Linked DNA regions of Styela clava. The protein of the gene in region 2 binds, or shares a complex with, the protein of the main gene of each other region. Links are inferred from orthologs where the notes say so. Each region holds a gene or a part of one and is shown on either strand. Other genes may lie near its edges. The genes, in order: RNA polymerase II subunit A C-terminal domain phosphatase SSU72-like and symplekin-like.

Region 1 (8,848 bases), on a different chromosome or scaffold from region 2:
TGCCCGACATTGCACTATATTACGCAAATATATGTTATTATTTTCTGTTTCACTTATTTTAATTTTGCCGGTCGGCGAGTACATTTTATTTAATTTCACCGATCCGCCAGGGTAGAAAGGTTGGGAACCGCTGGACTAGACTATCTGTACTTGTTTTTTTATTTATTTTAAAACGTAACAGGGATGTTTTTTCGAACTTTCGCATATTTGCATTGGTGGGGGGAGGCTTTTTACAACAGATTCAAAAATGTTCCTTTTTTTTACCACACTGATACTTACTTTTTTGTATCAAACTAGCTACCGCGTTTTCTCGAAAATAAGACAGGGTCTTTTTTCCTTTTTTTTTTAAATATCACTAGGGCTTATTTTGGGGGATGTCTTTAATTTTCATTTATCAAAAACAAAATTACAAAGTGGAGAATTACGAGATTTTTAAATATACAAAATATGAATCGTGGTGTAATTTCACGTTATTTCAGGTAATTGAACCTTTCCCTCTCTCACGCTTTAGATTAATCATTTAAAACGTGTAGGAGAAATTTCTTGCTATCGACTAGGTCCTCTTAAGGCAGGGGTCTCCAACTCAAAATATGTCGCGGGCCATTTTATGAAATTTATTGACGACGCGGCTAAGAAATTATATACAAAAATTAACTAAGTAAATCTGAATATATTTGTTAGATTACCCTTGAATCTTACACCAAGCGAGACATGAAACATATTCGTTTACTTGTGTTGGATATTTGGCACCGTTTTGTAGCGGTGAGACTCGATGGTTGGCCTGATTTTGCGTTAGTTTGCTGGTCTTTAGACAGCATAAAAACTCTCGTCTGTTAGTCGTGTGCAAAAGGCTGATTTGTTAACACTCATTGTTAAAAAATCATTTCACAAGCCTTCAACATACACTTTTTAATAAAGCTTCCCTCAACGAAAGGACGCGACGATTTTGCAATCATCTCACTCATGGCAAAGCTTGCTTTCATCGAATCTTCACAAGTTTTGTTTGTGTCTGAAAAAAAATTCTTTGTTTCATCAGTGAAAATTTTATTTCCGTTACCTTTTCGTGAGAAATTGTTTCAGTATAAACATGGTATTTTTCCCTTTGTAATGATTCATAAGTTCATAATAATCTAGTTTGGCGTTAACTGCACATAATTTGTGATTCGTAATCAAATAATGATTCACAACTGCACACTTCCATGATCTGACCGAAACTTGTTTATTTCGTCATAATAAAAACGCGGAATAGAATGGTTGAATTTACAATTTGATTATTACAATAGAACAAAATATGAACGTGGTAAAGTGGAATAACGGGGGGAATTTTTGTTTTACTTTTAACAGTTTGTTGTATCGGACTCTTGATGTTAAATAACACGATAAAACCCATAGTTGACATCATACTATTTTAGTTTTTTTACTGGAGAAATCTCAAACACGACGCGGGCCGCATATATATAAAATTTAATACTAGGATAAAATTGGCTAAGGGTAATTCCCATATGATGTTTCGAACATGCGAGAACCAGATTGTATACGCAACCTAAGATGGCACTCTCAATATAGTCAAACTTTTTGCTATGATTAGAAGTATTGAAATATTTTTCCTACGCAGGCCTGCCCAACCTTTTTATGTTCGCGAGCCCGCTTCCCACGAGTAAAATCATGGCGGGTCGCAAACTTAAATACCAGTAAAGTTCTGATTTACGTTAGAATTCACACAATGCATACTGGGGCACGTATGGCGTGTTTGCCTTATCCCAAAATACCCGACATGCTTTGGTAGACTTTATTTCGCTAGCTCACAATCTGATTCTTGCTCGCAAATATTTCATTGTTCACTTTTAATGTTAAATCTTCAACACTTATACTTATATATGAGGGCTACTTGTATATTTGCAGAAACTGCCTTTTATTTGTCAGGCTGATTTATTGCTGCTCCAAATAATAGTCATCGTTTACCTATTTAAATATTGGGTTTAAGTTTTTAATAGGCCACAGTTGTTGTCTTGTTTGAAAGGCTTACTAATAATAGTTATTCAACCTAAATTGTATTTATATATATGACTATCGATCGTATGTTTACCAAAATTGTTTCTTAATTTGGGTATATAATAATTTTTCAGTCACCTATTTGCCAAAAAATTTTCTTGTTACTTATCGATTTTTATCGGTAAGTATGTTGATAGGTATTTGTCTGTCTGTCTGTCTGTTAGATGCACGCGATATCTCACGAAAACGAGATTGAATCTGTTCCAGATTTTTCATGTGCTTTCATCATATCTCGGACCAGAAACCTATTGATTTTGGGCGAAGTATATCGTATAATTAGCGAGTTATTAATCAATAAGTGATGGGACACAAGTTGTCACTATGGAGTAAGAGCGCTTTTTTGGGGGATCCCCTGTCTTTTGATCGATAATTCCTCGGTCTCTGACCGATTTCTCGTTGGAAGGTTGATTCCTCTCTTGAAACAATTGTTTTACATGAGGACCATGTTGTTTATCTCCTGAAATTCATTCGTACATGTAAGGCTGGCCCCTTGCTGATTCGAACAATTGTTATGTGTCCAAATCTACATTGAGTATAGTAGTCCAATAGCCAAAATTGTTTTTTTTATTTGTGGGTCTTACTCCTCACTTTCAAATAATAGTGTAATAGTTGAAAATCTGCCCAAACTGTTTCATTTTACAAAACTCATCATTCAAAAATTGATTTCACGGAAAAAAATTAATTACTTTTATTTACTTCATTTTTGTTTGTTTGTTTTTTCAAATTTTGTGTCGTGAACTTCAACCATTTCTAATAATCATATTTTACTGTGAATTTATCAGCGTAAACTTGGAGGGGGCTGACTTCGATGACCGCATGGTCGTATCGCTCCTTCCAGTCTATACCGAAAAAAGCGTACTTTTTTATAGCCATTATTTATTTATTATTATGACTGTTTTTTTCTGGTTGACGAAATAAATCTCTCTCTCTCTCTCTTATGCACTTCATCTATATTTAACTAGCCAATTATCGAGATTCAAACCTGGTTTTAAAGCTGTTCATATGCTCTGCAATCCTAAGCGTATTCTGTGAGTGCCGACCTGCGGTGACAAATTTTCACTTTTAAAAGTGATTTTAATATAAGCCCTCCCCTCAAAATGAGAACTATTCAATAGCGCGAAATTTTTTTTACCTAGTTGATATGGTCAATTTTGAATAATCTATGTTTAGCAGTTTTTTTTTCAAATGAAAATGTGTTATTTAAAAGCAAATGAATATCTGTTTTCATATTCCGTATACCGGCATTTGAAAATCTCGTAATTCTCTACTTTGTAATTTTGTTTTTGTATTATTCGAACGAATCCGTTTTTCAGGCTCTTTACAGACTTTGACACGACCTATTCGTTTATATTCTCATTGGCCATGATTAGGTTTGTTTCTTTTTTTTATTAAGAATTTTGTTTCCTGGTGTATATGCGTTTTATTGTGTGATTGATATTTTATTCTTGTATGATGACTTCCATGTCCATCCATCTGCCGTTGGAATTTAGAAAATAGAGTTTGTCTCGATGGTCACGTTTGGTGCTTTGTGTTAAGAATACCTGAATAATATTTTTAATTTATATGAGAGCTTACGGTATACATATTTTAAGGCTTTCTACAGACCTCTTGTGGATGTTATCACCTCCTGTGCCCGAGAGCAAAAATAGTTAGTTTGTTAGGCTACCCACAATTCCATTTTGGCCCTCTGTCGACATTGATAGAAACTAATTCTGTCATTGCGTTTTATTTGTTTTGTGACAACTGTGGGATACCGGTACTAGTGCCGATAATTCGTTAGGTTTTTTTCGTTGTGACTTCGGATTAAGTCTGTGAGTACTAGCACCGTGAGTTTTGCCGATGACTGGTCATGTTGTTTTTTCTTCAAAAAAAGGAAACAAGGCAAAATTCAAGAAAACCGGTGATGGAAACTGTATACCGTACTGGTACCGGTATACCAGTACGGTATACCGTTACCCGGTACCGGTACGTACTGTTCTCTGAACAGTGTTCTGTACTATTACTGTACCGTACTACTGTACTAGCCTAGTACGGAGCTATGACTGAATGGTGCATATATATCCAGATATCTGTATATACACTTTCTTGCCACATTATTTTTGTTTTGGTTTTTCACTTTCTTAGTGCTGTAGTGAGTGGAAAGTTTTTATGGTAGAATTTGCATAAAATTATTTGTAAAAGTTTCCCTGAATCAAAAAAATTGATTAATATAACAATGATCTGGTCAAATTGGGATAATACCTGGTACCAGGGTACCGGTACCGTAGCTTTTTAGTCATAGAAAAAAAGAAAACTTAATAAATACCATATTATTAACTTAAGCACAATTCTTTTTCATTATATGACTATTTTGATAATGTCAAAAAATTCATTATTGGATTGGGGTATCATTTTTCACACAGGCAATTTATTTGGACGATGTAGACAATGGCCAAAATATAAATAAATTTGCGATATGATTGTATTGGCATTTTACAGGTACAAGTGAAGATATAGACTATCTTGAATGAAGATTCAGAATTATTGAACTTAATTTTTGTATACGATTTTTACTTTATTATACTGTACCTAATTTTGTAGAATTTCGCTCATCCTAAAATACCAGTAGATCTATTCAATAGCAATCCATAAGTATAACCAATAAGTTTCAAGTTGATGCATTCTTTCCAACGCTCTTGTATACTTTAACCCTCCAAATCGATCACCTAGACCTTGAGTGTTATACATCAGCTCACTCATAGATACTTGTATATGCTAAATGTCATTCTGGTCATACTACAATTGGTACACAAAATTTTGTTCAGATTGACCTCTAACTGCTCTGTTTATAATATTGTCTTGTTTCCTATGCAGCCTCAAAAACATTTGTTTTTATATCTCTCACAATAGAATAGTTTGTGATGTTTAATTCAAACAGATGATTGGCAAGTCAGGGCTTTCAGATTATAATTTTTCCCATTTTGTTTCCATCAATTTCAAACTATTCTGTACCAAATAAATCTAAATGATGCAGTATTTTTTATTTTCAACAGATTATATATAATTGTCCTAATTTTACATTGTGATCACTGAAGAAACATAACAAAAATGTCATCAAAGTTGAAGTTTGCTGTAGTATGTTCAAGTAATATGAACAGAAGTATGGAAGCACACAGATTTATGAAGTATGAATTCCTGGTTATAGTCTTTGAACCAACTTCTAAATATTGTTCTATCTACATTTTCAAACTAGCAGCGTATTATTATATATATTTTATATTGTCATGTCCACTGTTAGTCGATCACAGCAGCACCAATATACAGGGTGATCACTAACCATAAAATGTGTCAACAGCTTTTATTTTTGCAAAGAATAACTTTTACCAAGTTTTTTAAAGACCTACCGTATGTTATATTCCACCCATGGATGCTCAAAATGTTGCCCGTGCACTCCAGAAAAGTGTCTTAAGTTAAGACTCTTAACCTAGAAATCCGAGCTCGTGCAGCTTTTTGAAGGTTACCTTGTGGGATATCATTCCAATTCAACCCACACCTATACTTTTCTTCGTGATGTCATCTGACCTTCAAATTGTCTGCTTTTCTAGCGACCAACTTTAGATTATCCTTCAAGCAATTCTGTAACCCAGAAACTAAACGTTGGTTGAATCAATCAAACAGAACTTACAAATTGAAGAAAATTTATTTATTACTTGAACTCATAAATCTAGATGTGACGCCAGTACACCACACAAAGCATCTCAATGATGCGAATATTTTTATTTATTGATTTGAAGAAACCAAGGAACTATATTATCTTGTTAACAGAAAAAAGGGATTCAATGTGCAGTCGTTCGGCACTGGTAACCAAGTGAAACTTCCAGGACCTTCAGCAGACAAACCTAACGTCTACCCATTTGACACAAGATATGACGATATCTATAAAGAATTAGCAAACAAAGATTTCAACCTGTATCCTTTTATTTAAAATATTATCAACTCTGCACATTATGGCTGTAACAATCGGAGAATCCAGAGTTTTTATCAGATATATCAGGAAGGATTGTGTATAACAAAAATGCTCGTAGAAGTACACAATAACATAATGTTAAATTTCTTCCTTATTTTTGAAGATTTTTTAATTATGTTATTGGAGTATTTTATTTTCACTTTTTACATGTTTATTTATGAATGTTGAGTGTTTTTGTTTTGCCGTTTTAAAAAAAATATATGCTACAATTGTTTATCAATAATTGTTACAAATTTTATCATTTCAATTCAGATGTGTTCTTTGTAATCTTGGCGAATATCAGATAGAGAATATCTTGCACGAGAACTACTACTAGAAGCGGTTACTATCCACGTGACATTGATATGTGATGGAAGCCCTTGGCGAATTGAATTAGAACTTTCTGCTTGAATTATATAGTTTTGTATAGGTAAGTATCTGTTATTTGTACAAAGACATTTCATGATTTTGCTCTTGTTATCAAATTTAGAAATTCATATTAGTCTTTTATATCATATACCGGTATATCTTTTTGGTATATATATACGTTTGAACATCGCTATTCCATGTTTTGTTGTTCATACACTCGCTACATCCTGATGTATGTTGAAATCTATTGTTATGCAAAGACTGGTGCGTTCATTTAGTATTTTTTTGGCATTGAATTTGATTCTGGTCTCGTTCTAATCATATTGTGGAGAGCCCAATATTGTCGAAGTGGATATATTTTTGGTCATGGATAACTAACACCTTATTATTTTATCAAGATAAATCTTTGGTAACCTGAAAAAAGCGACCCATAAATGTTTCAAATTTACGAAAATTTATTTAACACCTCAACACTTGAATTTATGTTTGTATATGAATAAACCCAAAATTTTCAGTAATCTGTGACGCTTGGTACAAAAGATATGTTCTCGTTAGACCATGTTCCCAATGACCTATTTTTTTGTCATGGAGGATATTATTTTATAGGATAAGTCTTCTCTTGTCTAGAACAGTGGTTCCCAACCTTTTTTCAGTCCACTCAAATTTGAAGAAATAAATAAATTTGGTGAAATCTTGCTACTCAAGGATATTCTCACATACTAAACGACATGTATTGTTTTCATGGCCGCAAAATTAGTGACAAATATAAGAGGATCATTTGACATTTATTGCCCAGAAACTACAGAAAAGTGAGAAAATTGCTTGTTTGCAATGGGCAGGTTTTTGAAATCATGGCACTTAATAAACAAAATAGATGTTGCCAAGTTTTCATGCTGTGATACCTAAAATCCACTGGAAAATAAAATCAACAACTGACTACTGACTGTTGAAAAAACAAGGTGCCCAGGATTTTTAGGCGCCCCAGTTTTAGGTCACACCCATGTGCCGGGGAAACACTAATTTAGAATATGTTCCAAATGACCTGGGTTCTGTTTTATTAGGGTATATTGTACGAGAACTTGTTTTGGTCTGCTTTACTCAGCTCACTGCTTTACATGTCATTGTTATCTGCATCCTTTTTTTCAGATCATAAACCTGACAAAGAATTTGTACTCACTTGATGGAACCATACTGCAGCATTGTTTGTCATCTAGCTATTCAACAAAATTGTGGTTTATAGATTAGCCTGACTAGATTTCTTAGACCAGTTGTAGGCCTTGTTGAAATTATTATAGCATTGACAGCTGAAGGTTCGGCCAACCAACTCTGACCAACGAAATCGCTTTTTTTATGATTGAGGCAGAGTTATTTGTATTGAGGAATAGCCGAATAGGTCGTACTGCAAGCATCGCTTTCTCGGAATCATACTTCGTAAATAAAATGTTATTTTTGACTAGGATATGTGGTAAGACCGTGGTTTCCAGTCATTCAAAGCACATTATCCATCTTTGATTTCCCAAAACCAAAACCTTGATCGTAGTCCTAACGTCTGATTAAAACTAAATTAAAAATTAACCTTTAGTTTTATCCGCATGGGAAACGAGCGAAAATTGGCCAAATATATGACCATGATTATTTTATATGGCTAAATAATCAGAATTTAAACACATAGTCAATACGATAAAAGTGTATCTGTATCTTGAGTCGTCTTTGGGGACGTTCATAATCATGTTCGTGCAACTTAATATTCAAGTTTATCTGAAAATCTGCTGAGCTATTCCTTAATGATTAGTGAAGATTGGAACCCTTTGTCGTAGGAGAGATTTAATAGCAAGGATATGATCATTTTTACAAGTTTCAAAGACTGCTCAGTATATGAAAGTAAAAAATGTAATACAAAGATGTAACTTCAATACATTTCAAGTCTCGTAACATCCATGCGCACAATTATTTCATATGTCACTCATTCGAATACTTATTATTTGGGCCAAAGGTAGTCTTGTATGGGATCTGTTTTTCTGTGCCTTCATCTCACCCATGAGAGATGGATAAGTTTGCGCCCGTTGATGGATACATCATGCTGAAAATACCAGGCTAATACTTTATATGTAGGATATCGTTTAGCTTTTTCGTTGGTCGGAGTTTGGTTACACGTCAGCGTGATTGAAGATTGTTGCAGATTTCAACTCGATCATACGTTTTGTAAAGAATTCCTGATACACACCCTTTACTGTTTTGGACCCTCCATGTACAAGAATAGGATTATCAGGTTTGCGAATTATGAATAATTATTTGTTGTGCCTTTTTGGTGTATCCAGCCCATTCTACCGGGAACAAATAACTGGCTAACTAATCTCGGCTTTCCTATCCCCCGGGATAAATATGAAAATCTTATTGATTGGTCGGGGTAGTTATCATCGCGCCTGAATACATCCGACGGTA
Region 2 (9,033 bases):
AACGTTGGTGAATCCACGTTTTTGGAACAGCTCGAGTGCTTTCGTTCTTTCCTCTTGTTCTTGAAGCATTTTTGCCGCCTTTTTTACCTGTTCATCGATTAGTTTTGTTTTAGCTTCACTCTGTTCTTTTTCTTTCTGGATTCTATCATATTCTTCGGCCATCTTTTGTTGTTCTTCTCTGGCTTGCTGTTCAGCAACGGTGAGAGCAAGTTCCGCAGTTTGTTGTTGAATAGTCAAAGTTACAGCTTTTTCCAGTTCAATTCGAGTTGGTTTCCGTTCTAACAACGCCAGCACGTCTTTATTGACGTGAAGTTTTTGTTGCGGAGTAAAGCGTTCTACGTATTGCAACATAGGTTCCCGTAATTCCGGCGCGGAATCGAAAACAGAAGATAATTGCACGGAAGGAAGCTGTAGTAACACTTGAAACGACTGGGGTTTCATACGCTGACAACATCTTATGAATCCATCCCATACTTTTTCTTGTTCCCAAACCTTTTTTAAAATTAATCTTTGAAGAACATTCATAACAAAACCTGATAAACGTGGATAAGTGATCAAGGACTGAATTACCGTTCTCATTAACAGAGTCGGAATTTCTGCTTGCTCCACCAAGTGGTTGATAACAGTAACCAAAACTTCCGATGTGTAAACTGCTTTTTCAGCAAAACATAAACTTGTAGCTTTTATTACACTTTTCACATCAGCAGTATTTGAATCCATATTATGAAGTGCGATCAGTAACTCCACAGGTGACAGAGAACTCACAGATGGTTCGGATTGTTGTCCTCTATTGACTCCAAGCAATCGATTAAATACTCCTTTCACCACCGGAGGATTCAATCGAACAAGCTTCGGAAGAGCTTTTAAAACTTCATTCTTTTCGAGACCGTTCAAGACTGGTATAAGGAAACGTACATCAGGGACGCGTTTTGCATACAAGTCTGTGACACGCTGCACCAGTTCTACAGTTGGGTGGGTCTTGTCTGTAAGTATATGCAACATTCTAGTAACAAGAGTCTCCGCACCTTTTGGACATCCTTCAACGAGGCGCAATAATTGTGGCGATTCCATTCCCATTTGGCTCACAGGTTTATCAAGGATTCGTAAGACAACTCGTTTCACATCTGCGCTTGTTTTTACATAAACTTCGGCAAGTGTTTCGATTAAATTATGATCCAACGGTAGCAAAGCGAGAAATAACGTCATGCATTGTTTCATTTGGGTTTCCGTCCATGTTGATTTAGCATCTACCGGTGTTCCCTCTGGGACTAGGGTCAAAGGTGGTGCGGAGTTTGATAAATATTCAAGATGAGTGACAGCATATGTTCGGATGAAATCCTGTAATTCAATTTGTAGGAAAATTGATTTTATACATTCAACAGCTTCGGTTTGGGTACTTTCATTTTTACTGACGCAAAGATCAAGTAATAAACGAAGAAACTGCATTTTTCTCGTTATTCTGTAATGCAATAAGTCCTTAACAAGTTTAATTCCCGATTGTGATCTTTTTTCATCTTCGCAATACAAACGGACTTGTTTTATCGCCCCATCAGTTAACAAAGGTGCCTGCATTACCAATTTATTGAAAAGACTGTCTCGTGTTTCTGGTTTTTCTCTGAATCCTTGTAAAAGTCCTGTCAGACAGGCATCGTAATTTTCTTGTGCAGATTTGTCATTCGAGCCACGACTGTTTTCTAAATATATATTGAATTCTTCATACAACCATGCAAATGCAAGGGAAGAACGATTCCTAATATCTTCTAAAATAAACATTGCTAAAGCTCTATGAAGATCTCCACCAAACTGTGCCACAAGACTGGTTAAAATTTTTGACCATTGGGCATGAACTCCAGCAGCGTTAGCAGCTTGTTCTGATCTCAAGACTCTCAAAACTGCATTTTTGATGATTTTATCTTTTGTGTCTAAATCGAGAGGGGTAGTGATACTTTCTAATCGAAAACCCTGGATTCTGCGAGGCAAACCACGGTTCGGTACGACTGTCTGAGATGATATCATTGCTTCGATATTTTTCTTCGATTTATCTTGAGCAGTGTCTTCTTGAACTGGTGTTGGTTTTGTTGTTCCTCCTATAACAGTTTGAATTTGTAATTTCTGTTTTCCTTCTTCTTCTAACTTCTTTTCTCTCTTTTTTGCGTCTTCTTCCGCCGCCATTTCAGCAGCTTTTTGCACTCCAGATCCGACACCCATGGCTGTCATTTGTATAGAAAGTAATCTCGCTAAATGACTGATCTGATCCTCTGTGCCCGCGGATTCAATAGGGGTGTATGAAGCTTGAAACGCGTCTGGCATTTTATCGGGCAACATAACCATGCTCAATAATACTAAATTAGCGACATTTTCTGGTGATAATAAAGGGACTAACTGTTTAGCTGTGATATCAATAGCAACACTGTGTTGATTGACCACAGGTTCTGATGGGACAGGGGCAGGTGCTGAGCTCGTAGAAGGTCCTATTTCAACATCATCATCATATTCGTTCACCTCTTTTTTCATTTTTTTATTTCCACTCCCCTCTCCTTTATCTTCATCCGGGCTACGTTTTCGCGAGCTACCGGCACTTTGGCGTTGTGACAATTTCGGCATATTTTTTGCTATCTCAGATGATGTCGTACCCAAGTCATAAAGTAGATTGGTAATTTGTGGATGATATTGTGTTGATGAAAAAAGCCGTAACATGTTCATTAGTTGCATTTTCAAATGTTTTCTCACGCTCGCGACTTGAGTTTTTGCCAGTGTTGGTGGTAAATTTGCATGTAATGCTTCAAATGCTTGTACTACCGTTCCCATAAATTGTGGTCTTTGCTTTGCGATGGCTGATAAGGTTCCCATGGCTGCCATAAGATTAACGCTCGATATAGCAGGATTAGCAATAAAACCCAACAATTTCTGAAGAGCTTTTTCTCCGTCTGCTTTTAGTTCATCCCGTTTTAGTAATGCGTGGTTTAATGGAATCTCATCAATAGAAGACGCAGGTTCTGTTTTCTTAGGTACCTCTGATCCTCGCTGTATCTCTGACAAAATCAAGATCACTTTTTCAACGAATTTGACAGTTTGGGTTCGGACTCCGTCATTGACAGAATCCAGTAATTCGTAAATATGATCTCGAATATTGCATGTCACTTTCCAACAAGCTTTATGACTGTCAGAGATGAAACTACCCTTTGTTAACCAATAGATCACAATTCTAAATAACTGTGTCATAGACTGAATGAGTTTTTTAGTGACATTCGCATTGGTATCAGCGAGTAATAAATTTAAATTCGCCATTACTTTCATGAGAAGTTCATTATCTTTTTTGCACGCCTCTTCCATGAATCCGACAACAAATTTTCTAACGTCATGCGACCTATCAGCTTGGAATGCTAGAACTTCATCAGTAAAACTATCCAGTAATGCTGGTTCTTTATTCACAATTAATTCCTGAACTTGTTTGAGTTTGTTAACTTTGTCAGGGTCCGTTGAGGCCATAGAAGCCTGATTTAACAGATCAATTACTCTTTCTGATGTTGACTGATGAGAAGATGCTGACTCATCATCTTGGTCTTTGGAATTTGATGACCTTTGCGATTTTGTACCAGTTTTTTTGGGTTTCCCCATATTGGTGATGGGAATAAATTAATATTAGGTCAAATATATGGATGTTAGGTAACGGATCTGAAATGTGAATGGTTTGATTAGTATCATTATACAGTACAGCACACCTTACAGATTGAGAGACATTGTCTCGTCCCAAAGAATCCCATAAACAAGGGAAAGGACGTCTGGACATTGTCACCTCTAATAATAGGTGAAAATATAGTAAAATGAAGCTGCACAAAAAACTACGAAGTAGCTAGAAAACGTCATCATTGAGTTCCTCAGGAAAATATAATCCGATTTACTAAAAGAAAATTTTTTTTTCACCATGACATTTTAGAGTTTTTAGCAAATAATGGGAATTTAGATCATGTGACGGCCAGGAATAATGTAGATTATTATCGAGACAAGCATGGCCCAATAAGATGCATCTGCCGTTGAGCACGATGCCCCTCGTTTCTGAGACACATAGAAGTGTTTATTTTATTGAACCAACGGGACATTCTTGGAATTTGGAAAGTGTGCCCTACTGTAATAACCATACATACATAACTACAAATTTCAACAAAACAATATGTCAAAAATATATGTTATATATTTCACTTCCGAAGTCTATGTAAACTATCAGCTGACTATTCGCATAACTAATCTTAAAAATAATAATTGAGCATGGTACTACTGTTTGGCGTTATTTAAGCAGTTACAGTGTTTATTCCGCAAAATCCGCCAAAAAAATATCACTCACTACTGCACTACGATGCCACAGTAATGTAATAAGGCCATCCGAGGTATACTACAGTACTAACTGTCATCCAAGACGCACAGACAATCAATCGAAATCGAGCAAGCTGTTTTACTCGGCGTAACGATCCCGATATGTGAGAGATCGCTAGCGTTAGTGAGTTCGTTATCGTTAAACAAAATAATATCATTTTTTTTACATTCAATAAATGTGCATGATAAGGGGGACTCAAATGTAATAATACACAAGTTTCATAATCAATTAAATTGTTTCTGCCAGTTATTTTCACGATAATCAGGAAACATAGCCTACCTGCATACGGTAATCATATACCTAGGCCTACGGTATTGTTTTACAAATGGACAATTCATGAACAAATGTGATACTAATTCTGTTTCTATAACACACAAGTCATTTCCAGCAATAAATCTAATTCTAGATACACTATCTGACTTTTGAGGGAAAAATATTCCACATTAATTCATAATTTCCGTAAAAATTTTTTTTTATAGTTCCTTGGTGTGGATTGATCAATTTTTGAAGAATAAATAAAATAATAAATACCTTTAAATAACGATAAATAAATAATAGGCAATTGAAATTCAGATATTTTTATAAACGCCTCAATTATGAAAAAAAAATGGCGCCGACCGAACTGAAACCGACTGCATTCTACGACCTACATAAACCTTTGCCACAATCACTCAAATATTTGAAATCAATGCAGATACGGTGGATAATAGAGCGCATGCATTACTTTTTTTAAATCAAAATTCCTTTATTAACAATAATTTCACACTTGGAAATAACATTTTTTGTTTTATTCGTACAAGATGTGTTTTAAAAATATATATTGATGTATTAATGATCATAAAATCTGGCAACACTCGAACGAAGAAAATAAATTGCTGACGTCTGACATCTCGCGGTTGTAACTAGGTCAACTGGTCTCCGTACATGATTTATGATCAAAACAAGCAACTAAAGTTTTCTAATTGTGTTAGATTCATATGAGTTTGATATAAAAAAAAAATGTGATATATTGGTCTAAAAATTTAAATGATTCAGATAAAAATTTTCAATTTTTCATTTCAAGTTCTTGATTGGTTTGGTCTGCTCTTTTCATTCTTGACTTTTCCTCGTTTATGTCCATTAATTTATTTATCGATATGCAGATTTTTTGTGGATGACATCTCGATGGTGTTTGCAGCCTAAACAAAGCTTTGAAAGCTGAATCATAGGCTCATAGCTGTGACGCTTGACGAATGGTGATGTCATTTTCAGAGATCACAAGATTCAAAGGGAAATCCCCTTTTTAAGACTCATTTTACATGCAGGTGAATTACCGGGAAATGATATAGCGGGCTTTAGGCCACGTATATCGGGCAGAAGTAGGCGCAATAAAACCCGATGAATGGGTAATTTGGCAGTAACTTGGTATATCGGGGTGACAGTATATTTTTCAAACTATAAAGCCATGGCACAGCAAGTAATTCGACCGTCAGCACCTCCAGCCTTTGACGAAATACTCAACGAAATCAGATCATGCCATGCTAAATCAGTGTCTCTAGCTTCGCAGGCTTTGGCACAAGATGATGCAAACAACAACGCAGACGCTATGGCACTCTATCTTCAGGCTTTGAGACATAGTGAGAATGGTTTGAGACACAATATCCACGATTTTGAACAATCCAGTGCAGGATGGGAACAAGCCAGGCAGATGCAAGAACAGATCATATCAACCATAGCTAATATAAGACAGAGAATTTATCATTTACAATCTTTTGATGAACCAGTTAATCACGATGTTCCACAGCCCGAAAGCCCGCCTTCATATTCTCTACACGACCCACTTTCATCTCAGTCTGGTCCCCAATTCCACGATAGTGACATTATGGCCGATCCACTTTTATCTATAGAGAGTGGCGCACAAATATATTTTGTCTCAGCAGAGAGCCAAGTAGAATCAATGCCTCCGTCTTACCCAGCATCCTTACAAATTGTATTATTGAAGGAAGATTCTGTAACACCAGGAGGACCTCAAGCTATACTTCAAGTCGGAGACTGGGTGTATCCACTCGCAAATAACCAGATGCCGGTTTTGAAATCTGCGAACGGTGCCTATATGTTCCCCAAGTGCACAGAAGATGGAATTCAAGAAGGGTACGCAATAGGGGTCGTAATTTCGAGCAATGTGTCGAGAGAGTATGTGGAAATGTTCGAGAATATTCTTCAAACTTATGCTGCTTTTCAAATTGAAAATCCAGACGAAGGATTTGTTGATTTATCAGAATTTATAGGAGCATTTTCAGAAGCGGATGATTACATTCCGCCAAGCATGAGTGACCGCATGGCAGCATCGGTAACAAATGGAGCGACCGCTTTGTCCCAACATGTCCGAAATGGGACAGACTATGCTACCAATTTAGTTGAAAGCAGTGCAAACAATATTAAAGCAAAGTTGACCCCAGCAGAAGGGAAAGTAACGGTCAATCCATATATCAAAAGAGGCCTTGAATATACATACAATGCAGCTGATACCACAGTCCGGGTAAAAAATTGGTTGATTCAGTGGTTATGTTCGGTCACAACTTCAGTTGGTCAACAAGTTGCCCCATATTTCACGAAGGCAATAGAAGATAGCCCAGAAAATACGAGCACTAATGTGTACGGTGCGATAAAAGTGGTGAAATCGGGGCTTGCAGGATTCGGTAAAATCTGGACAGAACTGGAAAAAGCCGGCTCAACTATTGCCCAAGCCGTTACCACAGCAACAGTTAAGAATATGGAATATAAATATGGACCAGATGCAGCGGAAGCCACAAATCTAGCCATGGGGGCCGCAGTGAATCTTGGAGCTACGGCATTTGCACTTGATAACTTGGGCACTAAGGTTATAGCTGATATAGCAGCGAGTTGCGATGAACAAAGAGTTGAATATAAATCTGCAAATGAAACGGTTTCTTTTCATAACAGTTTTAAAGATGATCAGCAACCAGACAGTTTCAGAAATATCTGATATGCTCAAGTGTTTGTTTCTGTTCAATCACATTTATCAGGGTAAATTGATGTCGGCCTAGCACATCACAATAATGTCCTCAATTCTCAATATTTTATCTATATTTCAAGTTTACCCAAAACATTCGATAAATTGATAAGCCGCAATGAAATCTTCAAAATGTAGAAGCTTACTCTACAATTATTCTGAATCAAAGAGCAAACCCAAACAGAGAATTGTGTATTCTAGGGTTTGGAATGTATTTACGGCCTTGCTCAAGAAGTTATTGCTACTAAGCCAATTTATAAACTACGCTCCGCTATATCAACCTTAGCAGTCGGTTTAACCACGATCTTGCCTTACCAGATGATTAATCAGTTCCGAAGAGGTTCCATTTTCGTCAGTTACAGTAAAGTATGAAATATAATGGCTATTATATCCTTTTTGCACTTATATATATATATATGGGTGTTACTGCAATTATTTTTTTTATAAAATCTTATCTGTATTGTTTTGCAATTGCAACATAAAGACTGTTGAAATTAAACCCTATTATAATTAGCAATCTCTTCAAATAAATACTTTATACTTATGTTATAAATGAAACGTTATTGGGGAATGAGCCAACCTTCAAATCAAATATTTAAAGAGACATTTCACCGAGTCACTCCGAATCTCTGGCTCATTATCAATGGGGTCGTATATGGGTACTCCTGTAGTGTGTGTATTGGGTTAGGCCATAATTTTATTCAGATTTTCCTTAGTAAACATACCCCATAGCTTTCAGTACCTACACACAACTTGATGTAAACTTCATATTGGTATGTACACACACTTCTGGAGCGCCCATATATGTGACATAATGCCCTATTTCAGATTTGTAAGTTTTCAAAATAAATATTTATCTGATAACTGTTCTTGTGTTTGAAAAAATATATCATGATTGAGATTTTTTTGTAATTTATTTAATAGCAGAAGTGGTAGAATTAAAAGGCGAATAATGTTTTTCGAATACCGGAGGGGAAAAGATGAATTCATTTATTTGCTCATTTTGGAATATCAATCTCTTATATTTACTGAGACAAGAGCGATTGAATGCCTGAAACCTAGCTTTGAGCAAAATTGTAAAATAAATAATAGCAGATAAAAATAGGTTAAAAAACTACACATAACCTATGCACAGCTTTGGTACATCAGCAGTTCTATCATTAGTAGCCTACTCTTCCTAATTTTATATTTAGGGCCAGAAACCTAACTTTGAGCAAACTTGAACAAAAATAATAGCACATAAGACACTAATTCAAATTTAGCCGCTGGCAGTCATCTTTAACAGATAATGTGTACAAATGTACGAGGGCAGAATACATGCTCAAGGTGCGACCACTTTTTTGGAATTCTACCACAAATAATGACCACCACAGGGCCCTAGAAATCAAGAGCTCCATGACGCCCGGATCCACTTTTGATACCAAGCTGCATTGAATAATTCACCAGTCTTCATTACAACCATTTTCTCATTTAAGTTTTTACTGTCTTTGGTTTCCCACCAGTTCTTTTATTGAATTTCTTATTCCCTCTTTGATTTTTGCCACCTTTTCTTTGGCCCTTCGGTTTATCGCTCTCACGACTGAAATTGAAATGAATGGTGTCATAAGATCAGAGTGGATAAACAAATGCCAGCCCACCAGCAGGGTTT

The links.
Region 1: the proteins of symplekin-like (region 2) and RNA polymerase II subunit A C-terminal domain phosphatase SSU72-like are in contact, whole or in part, in a crystal structure (PDB 4YGX), measured with the Drosophila melanogaster proteins. The link is inferred for Styela clava from reciprocal best matches to the Drosophila melanogaster genes Sym and Ssu72. Residues at the interface, in NP_649580.1 of Drosophila melanogaster: Glu91, Ala117, Lys121, Gln125, Gly128, Ser129, Glu169, Asn170, Asp171, Gly172, Thr175, Asn176, Lys179, Phe180, Arg198, Ser240, Ser241, Val242, Ile245, Ala246, Ser249, Thr281, Ser283, Gln284, Ser286, Ser287, Lys290, Met294, Gln295; in NP_001285455.1 of Drosophila melanogaster: Glu114, Tyr117, Asp118, Val121, Met122, Glu125, Glu128, Ser129, Val130, Asp131, Asn132, Arg133, Pro134, Asp168, Asp170, Asn171, Asp174, Gln178, Glu181, Val187, Ile188, Leu189, His190, Ser191, Val192, Phe194.

What each region holds. Positions count from the first base shown.
Region 1 is NC_135256.1:18,813,795-18,822,642, reverse strand, and holds the start of RNA polymerase II subunit A C-terminal domain phosphatase SSU72-like, read left to right. Parts: upstream 1-5,084; 5' UTR 5,085-5,139; coding exon 5,140-5,216; intron 5,217-5,856; coding exon 5,857-6,000; intron 6,001-6,021; exon of another isoform or gene 6,022-6,467; intron 6,468-7,552; exon of another isoform or gene 7,553-8,848.
Region 2 is NC_135263.1:4,743,610-4,752,642, reverse strand, and holds the start of symplekin-like, read right to left. Parts: upstream 3,675-9,033; 5' UTR 3,619-3,674; coding exon 1-3,618. Other genes in the region: spartin-like, read left to right, coding at 5,754-7,358; ribosome biogenesis regulatory protein homolog, read right to left, coding at 8,856-8,964. UniProt on the Drosophila melanogaster protein: Component of a protein complex required for cotranscriptional processing of 3'-ends of polyadenylated and histone pre-mRNA. Involved in germline stem cell transit amplification, differentiation and mitosis-to-meiosis transition.